Linked DNA regions of Saccharomyces cerevisiae S288C. The protein of the gene in region 2 binds, or shares a complex with, the protein of the main gene of each other region. Each region holds a gene or a part of one and is shown on either strand. Other genes may lie near its edges. A codon is read from its position in the direction of its gene.

The links.
Region 1: the proteins of ULP1 (region 2) and PSE1 are in contact, whole or in part, in a crystal structure (PDB 5H2V), measured with the Saccharomyces cerevisiae proteins. Residues at the interface, in NP_015305.1 of Saccharomyces cerevisiae: Gly51 (codon at 2,122), Ile52 (codon at 2,125), Tyr53 (codon at 2,128), Lys54 (codon at 2,131), Lys55 (codon at 2,134); in NP_014039.1 of Saccharomyces cerevisiae: Asp346 (codon at 3,009), Arg349 (codon at 3,018), Gln350 (codon at 3,021), Asp353 (codon at 3,030), Leu357 (codon at 3,042), Ser392 (codon at 3,147), Ser393 (codon at 3,150), Glu396 (codon at 3,159), Cys429 (codon at 3,258), Asn430 (codon at 3,261), Gly433 (codon at 3,270), Gln434 (codon at 3,273), His470 (codon at 3,381), Ala473 (codon at 3,390), Ala474 (codon at 3,393), Val476 (codon at 3,399), Asn477 (codon at 3,402).

The regions. Positions count from the first base shown.
Region 1 is NC_001145.3:888,452-894,194, reverse strand, and holds PSE1 (importin PSE1), read left to right. Parts: upstream 1-1,973; coding exon 1,974-5,243; downstream 5,244-5,743. Other genes in the region: NIP1 (translation initiation factor eIF3 core subunit c), read left to right, coding at 1-1,207; 1,3-beta-glucanosyltransferase GAS1, read right to left, coding at 5,513-5,743. UniProt on the Saccharomyces cerevisiae protein: Functions in nuclear protein import as nuclear transport receptor. Serves as receptor for classical and arginine/glycine-rich nuclear localization signals (cNLS and rg-NLS) in cargo substrates.
Region 2 is NC_001148.4:511,533-516,149, reverse strand, and holds ULP1 (SUMO protease ULP1), read left to right. Parts: upstream 1-1,971; coding exon 1,972-3,837; downstream 3,838-4,617. Other genes in the region: VTC3 (vacuolar transporter chaperone), read left to right, coding at 1-1,639; ECM23 (Ecm23p), read right to left, coding at 4,486-4,617. UniProt on the Saccharomyces cerevisiae protein: Protease that catalyzes two essential functions in the SUMO pathway: processing of full-length SMT3 to its mature form and deconjugation of SMT3 from targeted proteins. Has an essential role in the G2/M phase of the cell cycle.

The DNA.
Region 1 (5,743 bases), on a different chromosome or scaffold from region 2:
TCAATTGTACTTTGAAGCGACTTTGAAAGATGAACACGACCTAGAAAGAGCATTGACACGTCCATTCGTCAAGAGATTGGATCATATCTACTATAAATCCGAAAATTTGATAAAAATTATGGAAACTGCTGCTTGGAATATCATACCTGCTCAATTCAAATCTAAATTTACTTCAAAAGACCAGCTCGATTCTGCTGATTATGTCGACAATTTAATAGACGGATTATCGACAATCTTATCCAAGCAAAACAACATTGCTGTTCAAAAACGTGCTATTTTATACAACATTTACTACACTGCATTAAACAAAGATTTCCAAACTGCTAAAGATATGTTACTAACTTCCCAAGTTCAAACAAATATCAACCAATTCGATTCATCCCTACAAATTTTATTCAACAGGGTTGTTGTTCAATTGGGTCTATCCGCCTTTAAATTATGTTTGATTGAAGAATGTCATCAAATTTTGAATGATCTTCTGTCAAGTTCTCACTTAAGAGAAATTTTGGGCCAACAATCCCTACACAGAATATCTCTCAATTCTAGTAACAATGCTTCAGCTGATGAGCGTGCTAGACAATGTTTGCCATATCACCAACACATCAATCTCGATTTAATCGATGTCGTCTTCTTAACATGTTCCTTATTGATCGAAATTCCAAGAATGACTGCCTTCTATTCCGGTATTAAGGTCAAGAGAATTCCTTACTCTCCAAAATCCATTCGTCGTTCCTTAGAACATTACGACAAGTTAAGTTTCCAAGGTCCACCAGAAACTTTAAGAGATTATGTCTTGTTTGCTGCCAAATCAATGCAAAAAGGTAACTGGAGAGACTCTGTTAAATACTTAAGAGAAATAAAATCTTGGGCTTTATTACCAAACATGGAAACGGTGTTGAATAGTTTAACGGAAAGAGTACAAGTTGAATCTTTGAAGACTTATTTCTTTTCTTTCAAGAGGTTCTATTCAAGTTTTTCTGTTGCTAAACTAGCCGAATTATTTGATCTTCCAGAAAATAAGGTGGTTGAAGTTTTGCAATCTGTTATCGCAGAATTGGAAATCCCAGCCAAATTAAACGACGAGAAGACCATCTTTGTTGTCGAAAAGGGTGATGAAATTACTAAATTGGAAGAAGCAATGGTAAAATTGAACAAAGAATATAAAATCGCTAAAGAACGTCTTAACCCACCATCAAATCGTCGTTGATCAATAAAATCAAAAACTACTTCGAAAGCATTCTTAACAAAAAATCATTGTAGATAGAAGAATAACATCAGCAACCAAAAAATATAGAAGGAAACTAAGCAGGAGAGTATAAACCATATTCACTTTTGCTTTTTATTCTTGATATTGCTCATCTTTTTTTTTTTCGATTCTTTTAGCGATCTCTTTATTTTTAGTTTTAGGGTTTGAATCTAATCGTCTTCACTGTACATTACACATAAGCAAATATATATATAGTTTTTTTTGTTACGTAAACACTCTTTATAATATAATACAAACTATTAAACTTTAAGAAAAGTATGATATGCCGCTTTATTTCTTCATCAAATATAATCTCAAAATATATGGATCATGAGTGTTGATAAATAATCCAATAGCCTATCATGGACTATCTGTTTGACATTCTAAAAAAAAAAATAAATTGTACGAACTGCAGTAAATCGGTATTATCATCATGACGCACGATATCAATTCTTTGCAGAAACTGAAAAATTTTTCATTTTCTACCCAGGAAAAAAAGAAAAATGAAATTCACTAAAAAAATGGGAATACTAATACCAGACGGTCCAATAATCACTATAGTATTATAGACAGCTATAACAGTGATCGAAGTTCGGCGCTCTTCAGATACCGAGTGGCTAATAGACTGAGTAGATCAAAGTGGCAGATAGCCCAAACAAAAGTAATTAGCTTGCAAGCCACTTTATCCTAACGACACGTGATTTCAACCGTAACTAGAGCCATCGCTATGTCTGCTTTACCGGAAGAAGTTAATAGAACATTACTTCAGATTGTCCAGGCGTTTGCTTCCCCTGACAATCAAATACGTTCTGTAGCTGAGAAGGCTCTTAGTGAAGAATGGATTACCGAAAACAATATTGAGTATCTTTTAACTTTTTTGGCTGAACAAGCCGCTTTCTCCCAAGATACAACAGTTGCAGCATTATCTGCTGTTCTGTTTAGAAAATTAGCATTAAAAGCTCCCCCTTCTTCGAAGCTTATGATTATGTCCAAAAATATCACACATATTAGGAAAGAAGTTCTTGCACAAATTCGTTCTTCATTGTTAAAAGGGTTTTTGTCGGAAAGAGCTGATTCAATTAGGCACAAACTATCTGATGCTATTGCTGAGTGTGTTCAAGACGACTTACCAGCATGGCCAGAATTACTACAAGCTTTAATAGAGTCTTTAAAAAGCGGTAACCCAAATTTTAGAGAATCCAGTTTTAGAATTTTGACGACTGTACCTTATTTAATTACCGCTGTTGACATCAACAGTATCTTACCAATTTTTCAATCAGGCTTTACTGATGCAAGTGATAATGTCAAAATTGCTGCAGTTACGGCTTTCGTGGGTTATTTTAAGCAACTACCAAAATCTGAGTGGTCCAAGTTAGGTATTTTATTACCAAGTCTTTTGAATAGTTTACCAAGATTTTTAGATGATGGTAAGGACGATGCCCTTGCATCAGTTTTTGAATCGTTAATTGAGTTGGTGGAATTGGCACCAAAACTATTCAAGGATATGTTTGACCAAATAATACAATTCACTGATATGGTTATAAAAAATAAGGATTTAGAACCTCCAGCAAGAACCACAGCACTCGAACTGCTAACCGTTTTCAGCGAGAACGCTCCCCAAATGTGTAAATCGAACCAGAATTACGGGCAAACTTTAGTGATGGTTACTTTAATCATGATGACGGAGGTATCCATAGATGATGATGATGCAGCAGAATGGATAGAATCTGACGATACCGATGATGAAGAGGAAGTTACATATGACCACGCTCGTCAAGCTCTTGATCGTGTTGCTTTAAAGCTGGGTGGTGAATATTTGGCTGCACCATTGTTCCAATATTTACAGCAAATGATCACATCAACCGAATGGAGAGAAAGATTCGCGGCCATGATGGCACTTTCCTCTGCAGCTGAGGGTTGTGCTGATGTTCTGATCGGCGAGATCCCAAAAATCCTGGATATGGTAATTCCCCTCATCAACGATCCTCATCCAAGAGTACAGTATGGATGTTGTAATGTTTTGGGTCAAATATCTACTGATTTTTCACCATTCATTCAAAGAACTGCACACGATAGAATTTTGCCGGCTTTAATATCTAAACTAACGTCAGAATGCACCTCAAGAGTTCAAACGCACGCCGCAGCGGCTCTGGTTAACTTTTCTGAATTCGCTTCGAAGGATATTCTTGAGCCTTACTTGGATAGTCTATTGACAAATTTATTAGTTTTATTACAAAGCAACAAACTTTACGTACAGGAACAGGCCCTAACAACCATTGCATTTATTGCTGAAGCTGCAAAGAATAAATTTATCAAGTATTACGATACTCTAATGCCATTATTATTAAATGTTTTGAAGGTTAACAATAAAGATAATAGTGTTTTGAAAGGTAAATGTATGGAATGTGCAACTCTGATTGGTTTTGCCGTTGGTAAGGAAAAATTTCATGAGCACTCTCAAGAGCTGATTTCTATATTGGTCGCTTTACAAAACTCAGATATCGATGAAGATGATGCGCTCAGATCATACTTAGAACAAAGTTGGAGCAGGATTTGCCGAATTCTGGGTGATGATTTTGTTCCGTTGTTACCGATTGTTATACCACCCCTGCTAATTACTGCCAAAGCAACGCAAGACGTCGGTTTAATTGAAGAAGAAGAAGCAGCAAATTTCCAACAATATCCAGATTGGGATGTTGTTCAAGTTCAGGGAAAACACATTGCTATTCACACATCCGTCCTTGACGATAAAGTATCAGCAATGGAGCTATTACAAAGCTATGCGACACTTTTAAGAGGCCAATTTGCTGTATATGTTAAAGAAGTAATGGAAGAAATAGCTCTACCATCGCTTGACTTTTACCTACATGACGGTGTTCGTGCTGCAGGAGCAACTTTAATTCCTATTCTATTATCTTGTTTACTTGCAGCCACCGGTACTCAAAACGAGGAATTGGTATTGTTGTGGCATAAAGCTTCGTCTAAACTAATCGGAGGCTTAATGTCAGAACCAATGCCAGAAATCACGCAAGTTTATCACAACTCGTTAGTGAATGGTATTAAAGTCATGGGTGACAATTGCTTAAGCGAAGACCAATTAGCGGCATTTACTAAGGGTGTCTCCGCCAACTTAACTGACACTTACGAAAGGATGCAGGATCGCCATGGTGATGGTGATGAATATAATGAAAATATTGATGAAGAGGAAGACTTTACTGACGAAGATCTTCTCGATGAAATCAACAAGTCTATCGCGGCCGTTTTGAAAACCACAAATGGTCATTATCTAAAGAATTTGGAGAATATATGGCCTATGATAAACACATTCCTTTTAGATAATGAACCAATTTTAGTCATTTTTGCATTAGTAGTGATTGGTGACTTGATTCAATATGGTGGCGAACAAACTGCTAGCATGAAGAACGCATTTATTCCAAAGGTTACCGAGTGCTTGATTTCTCCTGACGCTCGTATTCGCCAAGCTGCTTCTTATATAATCGGTGTTTGTGCCCAATACGCTCCATCTACATATGCTGACGTTTGCATACCGACTTTAGATACACTTGTTCAGATTGTCGATTTTCCAGGCTCCAAACTGGAAGAAAATCGTTCTTCAACAGAGAATGCCAGTGCAGCCATCGCCAAAATTCTTTATGCATACAATTCCAACATTCCTAACGTAGACACGTACACGGCTAATTGGTTCAAAACGTTACCAACAATAACTGACAAAGAAGCTGCCTCATTCAACTATCAATTTTTGAGTCAATTGATTGAAAATAATTCGCCAATTGTGTGTGCTCAATCTAATATCTCCGCTGTAGTTGATTCAGTCATACAAGCCTTGAATGAGAGAAGTTTGACCGAAAGGGAAGGCCAAACGGTGATAAGTTCAGTTAAAAAGTTGTTGGGATTTTTGCCTTCTAGTGATGCTATGGCAATTTTCAATAGATATCCAGCTGATATTATGGAGAAAGTACATAAATGGTTTGCATAAAGACGTTTAATAGAAAGAAGAACAATGTTAAGTAGTTCTATAAGGAATATTAAATGAATATTGTCTTTTTTGATGATTTAAAAACATATAATGTAACAATAGTGTTCTTTTTAATTTACCGGTGGTAATAGCGAATAGAATCTTATAAAACTTACATAGAAAAAAAATATATACTATACTTACAACTTTTCATTTTTTTCGTAAAAACTACCCCACAATGAAATAAGATACCATACCTTATCGAGTTATTATGTATGTGTCGAAGCTTTTTAAACCAAAGCAAAACCGACACCAGCGGCAATGGATAAGGAAATGATGGAGGTAAAGACCACTTGTGCTAAGTTAGCTTTAACGTTGGTGGCAGCATTCTTCTTGCTAGAAGATGAAGATGAAGCTGAAGAAGAAGAAGAAGAACTGGAAGAACCAGAAGAGCCGGAGTTAGACTTGGAAGAAGACCCCGAAGCGTTAGAAGAGGCAGTACTGGATTCAGTTCCGGAACC
Region 2 (4,617 bases):
GTCATATGATCCAACAATCACTACATTATATTTCGACAACGATTTTTTTGATTTGTACAATAACAGATTGTTGAAAATCAGCGGTGCACCTACGCTGAGATTAAGATGGATCGGTAAACTGCTAGACAAACCTGACATATTTTTGGAAAAGAGAACTTTTACAGAAAATACCGAAACTGGTAATTCAAGTTTTGAAGAAATCAGATTGCAAATGAAAGCCAAATTCATCAACAATTTTATTTTTAAAAATGATCCCAGTTACAAAAACTATTTAATTAATCAACTAAGAGAAAGGGGTACTCAAAAGGAGGAACTGGAAAAACTTTCTAGAGACTTTGATAACATCCAAAACTTTATTGTTGAGGAGAAGTTGCAGCCAGTTTTGAGAGCTACCTATAATAGAACTGCTTTCCAAATTCCTGGAGATCAAAGTATTAGAGTCACTATCGATTCCAATATCATGTACATTAGAGAGGATTCTTTGGACAAAAATAGGCCCATTAGGAACCCTGAGAATTGGCACCGTGACGATATTGATTCCAATATTCCCAACCCATTGAGGTTTTTAAGAGCAGGAGAATATTCGAAGTTCCCCTATTCTGTAATGGAGATTAAGGTTATAAACCAAGATAATTCTCAAATGCCTAATTATGAGTGGATTAAAGATTTAACTAATTCACATTTAGTTAACGAAGTTCCAAAATTTTCTTTGTACTTGCAAGGTGTGGCTTCACTGTTTGGTGAAGACGATAAATATGTCAACATTTTGCCATTCTGGTTGCCCGATTTAGAAACCGACATCAGAAAGAACCCTCAGGAGGCTTACGAAGAAGAGAAGAAAACTTTACAAAAACAAAAGAGCATTCATGATAAACTTGATAATATGAGAAGGTTATCCAAAATCTCTGTACCAGATGGAAAGACCACTGAAAGACAAGGGCAAAAAGATCAGAATACTCGCCACGTTATTGCAGATTTAGAAGATCACGAATCATCAGATGAAGAAGGTACTGCATTGCCCAAGAAATCTGCAGTCAAAAAAGGGAAGAAATTCAAAACGAATGCAGCTTTCTTGAAAATTCTTGCTGGAAAAAATATTTCAGAAAATGGAAATGATCCATACTCCGACGATACAGACAGTGCCTCTTCTTTCCAATTACCTCCGGGAGTTAAAAAACCAGTTCACCTTTTGAAAAATGCCGGTCCTGTCAAAGTTGAGGCAAAAGTTTGGCTCGCCAATGAACGTACATTCAATAGATGGTTAAGTGTAACCACATTGCTGAGTGTATTGACCTTTTCTATCTATAATTCAGTGCAAAAAGCCGAATTTCCACAACTAGCTGATCTGTTGGCCTATGTATATTTCTTTTTGACTTTGTTTTGCGGAGTATGGGCTTATAGAACCTACTTAAAAAGATTAACTCTTATTAAAGGTAGAAGTGGTAAGCATTTGGATGCACCTGTGGGACCTATTTTGGTTGCAGTTGTATTAATCGTTACCTTGGTTGTTAACTTTAGTGTGGCTTTTAAAGAGGCCGCTAGGAGGGAAAGAGGATTAGTAAACGTTTCCTCCCAGCCTTCGTTACCCCGTACACTAAAACCAATTCAAGATTTTATCTTCAATTTGGTTGGGGAATAAGAACATGTATATTTTTTATATACACATATATTACACAAGTACCAGTTACTATCATAATTAATTAATTGTTCTCTATTTATACATATTTGCTCTTCCGTATTAAATCATATTAAACAGCTTTCAGCAGGTGCCGGCGCCGCCTCTTTTTATTTTCAAAATTCAAAATGCACATAATGAGAAGATGTGTGTGATAGTTAAACCCAGATCAAAAAATAGCTGAAACGTTCGTTTCAGCTCCGCAAATCTATATTGCTAATTAAAATTATTCATCAATATCTACTTCTGTTTCAGTTTTTTTCCTCTTCTTCCTCTGACCTTTGGATATCATAATAATGTCAGTTGAAGTAGATAAGCACCGGAACACACTACAGTATCATAAAAAGAACCCTTACTCCCCTTTATTCTCCCCAATTTCTACATATAGGTGTTATCCTCGGGTATTGAACAATCCCTCCGAGTCTAGAAGATCAGCCAGTTTTAGTGGTATTTATAAAAAAAGAACCAATACGTCAAGATTCAATTATTTAAACGACCGCCGTGTTTTATCAATGGAAGAATCAATGAAAGATGGGTCAGATAGAGCTAGTAAAGCTGGTTTTATAGGAGGCATAAGAGAAACTCTTTGGAACTCAGGTAAGTACTTATGGCACACATTTGTGAAAAACGAACCTCGCAATTTTGATGGTTCTGAAGTAGAAGCAAGTGGTAACAGCGACGTTGAGAGCAGAAGTTCTGGAAGTAGGAGCAGTGACGTACCATATGGTCTACGTGAAAATTATTCCTCGGATACAAGAAAACACAAATTCGATACGTCGACGTGGGCCTTACCAAATAAAAGGAGAAGAATCGAAAGTGAAGGTGTGGGGACACCTTCAACCTCACCAATCAGCTCTTTGGCTTCTCAAAAAAGCAATTGTGATAGTGACAATAGCATAACTTTTTCGAGAGATCCTTTTGGTTGGAATAAGTGGAAAACAAGTGCTATTGGTTCTAACTCAGAAAATAACACTTCTGATCAGAAAAATAGCTACGACAGGCGACAGTATGGGACAGCCTTTATTAGAAAGAAAAAAGTTGCAAAACAGAACATTAACAATACTAAACTGGTGTCGAGAGCACAATCTGAGGAAGTAACATATTTACGACAAATATTCAACGGAGAATATAAAGTTCCAAAAATATTAAAAGAAGAAAGAGAAAGACAGTTAAAATTAATGGATATGGATAAGGAAAAAGACACTGGCTTAAAAAAGTCTATAATCGACTTAACTGAAAAGATCAAAACAATTTTAATTGAGAACAACAAGAACAGACTACAGACAAGAAATGAAAATGATGATGATTTAGTATTTGTTAAAGAAAAAAAGATATCTTCTTTGGAAAGGAAACATAAGGATTACTTAAATCAAAAGTTGAAGTTTGATAGATCTATATTAGAGTTTGAGAAAGACTTCAAAAGATATAACGAAATTTTAAATGAAAGAAAGAAGATTCAAGAAGATCTTAAAAAAAAGAAAGAACAATTGGCCAAGAAGAAACTTGTTCCTGAATTAAATGAAAAAGACGATGACCAAGTACAAAAAGCTTTGGCATCTAGAGAAAATACTCAGTTAATGAATAGAGATAATATAGAGATAACAGTACGTGATTTTAAGACCTTGGCACCACGAAGATGGCTAAATGACACTATCATTGAGTTTTTTATGAAATACATTGAAAAATCTACCCCTAATACAGTGGCGTTTAATTCATTTTTCTATACCAATTTATCAGAAAGGGGTTATCAAGGCGTCCGGAGGTGGATGAAGAGAAAGAAGACACAAATTGATAAACTTGATAAAATCTTTACACCAATAAATTTGAACCAATCCCACTGGGCGTTGGGCATAATTGATTTAAAAAAGAAAACTATAGGTTACGTAGATTCATTATCGAATGGTCCAAATGCTATGAGTTTCGCTATACTGACTGACTTGCAAAAATATGTTATGGAGGAAAGTAAGCATACAATAGGAGAAGACTTTGATTTGATTCATTTAGATTGTCCGCAGCAACCAAATGGCTACGACTGTGGAATATATGTTTGTATGAATACTCTCTATGGAAGTGCAGATGCGCCATTGGATTTTGATTATAAAGATGCGATTAGGATGAGAAGATTTATTGCCCATTTGATTTTAACCGACGCTTTAAAATAGTTATTCTTTTATAATATACAATTATTATACATAAGTAGAAATATTCAGATCATTGGATATGGAATAAAGTTCAATAAACCACTTGAAAATAAATCATAAGAATAGCATAAGCACCAGCTCAATTTAGATGTCTGTACAAAAAGTAATATATTTTAGAGATGAGCAGGCAGAACCACACATTAGTGACGATTGTCTTCGACCTTATGTGGAATCTTAAGCTTTAACATATAAGTAAAAATTTTTATTTTCAACAAAAGATTAGAACGAAATGAAATTCCTTAATTGAACCTTCTCTTGGATATCAATCTATTGGCAATCATTCCTAGAGAATATATTATTGAGTGAAAACTGTAGATACGTGCTAAGCGGTAAAGCCCTTATGAACATCGTCACACTATCTCTATATTGAGCCTCCGTAAATTTCGAATCATTTGAAATTCATTTTTCCTGGTAGGAAGATACTTGATAGTGGAGGATAAGTAAAGTAAATTGTGGTTATCATTTATTTGGTGGTAAAGTACCTTTTTTATGTTTTTTTTGAAGATGGAAATTCAGGCATTTTAAAAAAATAGAAAGCTCGAAATATCTCAAAAAACATAAAAATAGAGGAAGAATCCGCTGAATATACCATCTTTACAAACTACTTAACTATTTATTTTTAAATATAAAATTTTTAGTACCATCATCGGAGGATTGTTGCGATCGTATTTTTTTCTCCATTTTTTTCCTATATGCTATGCCACATCGACTACATAGCTCAACATTTCCATTAGGTCCACT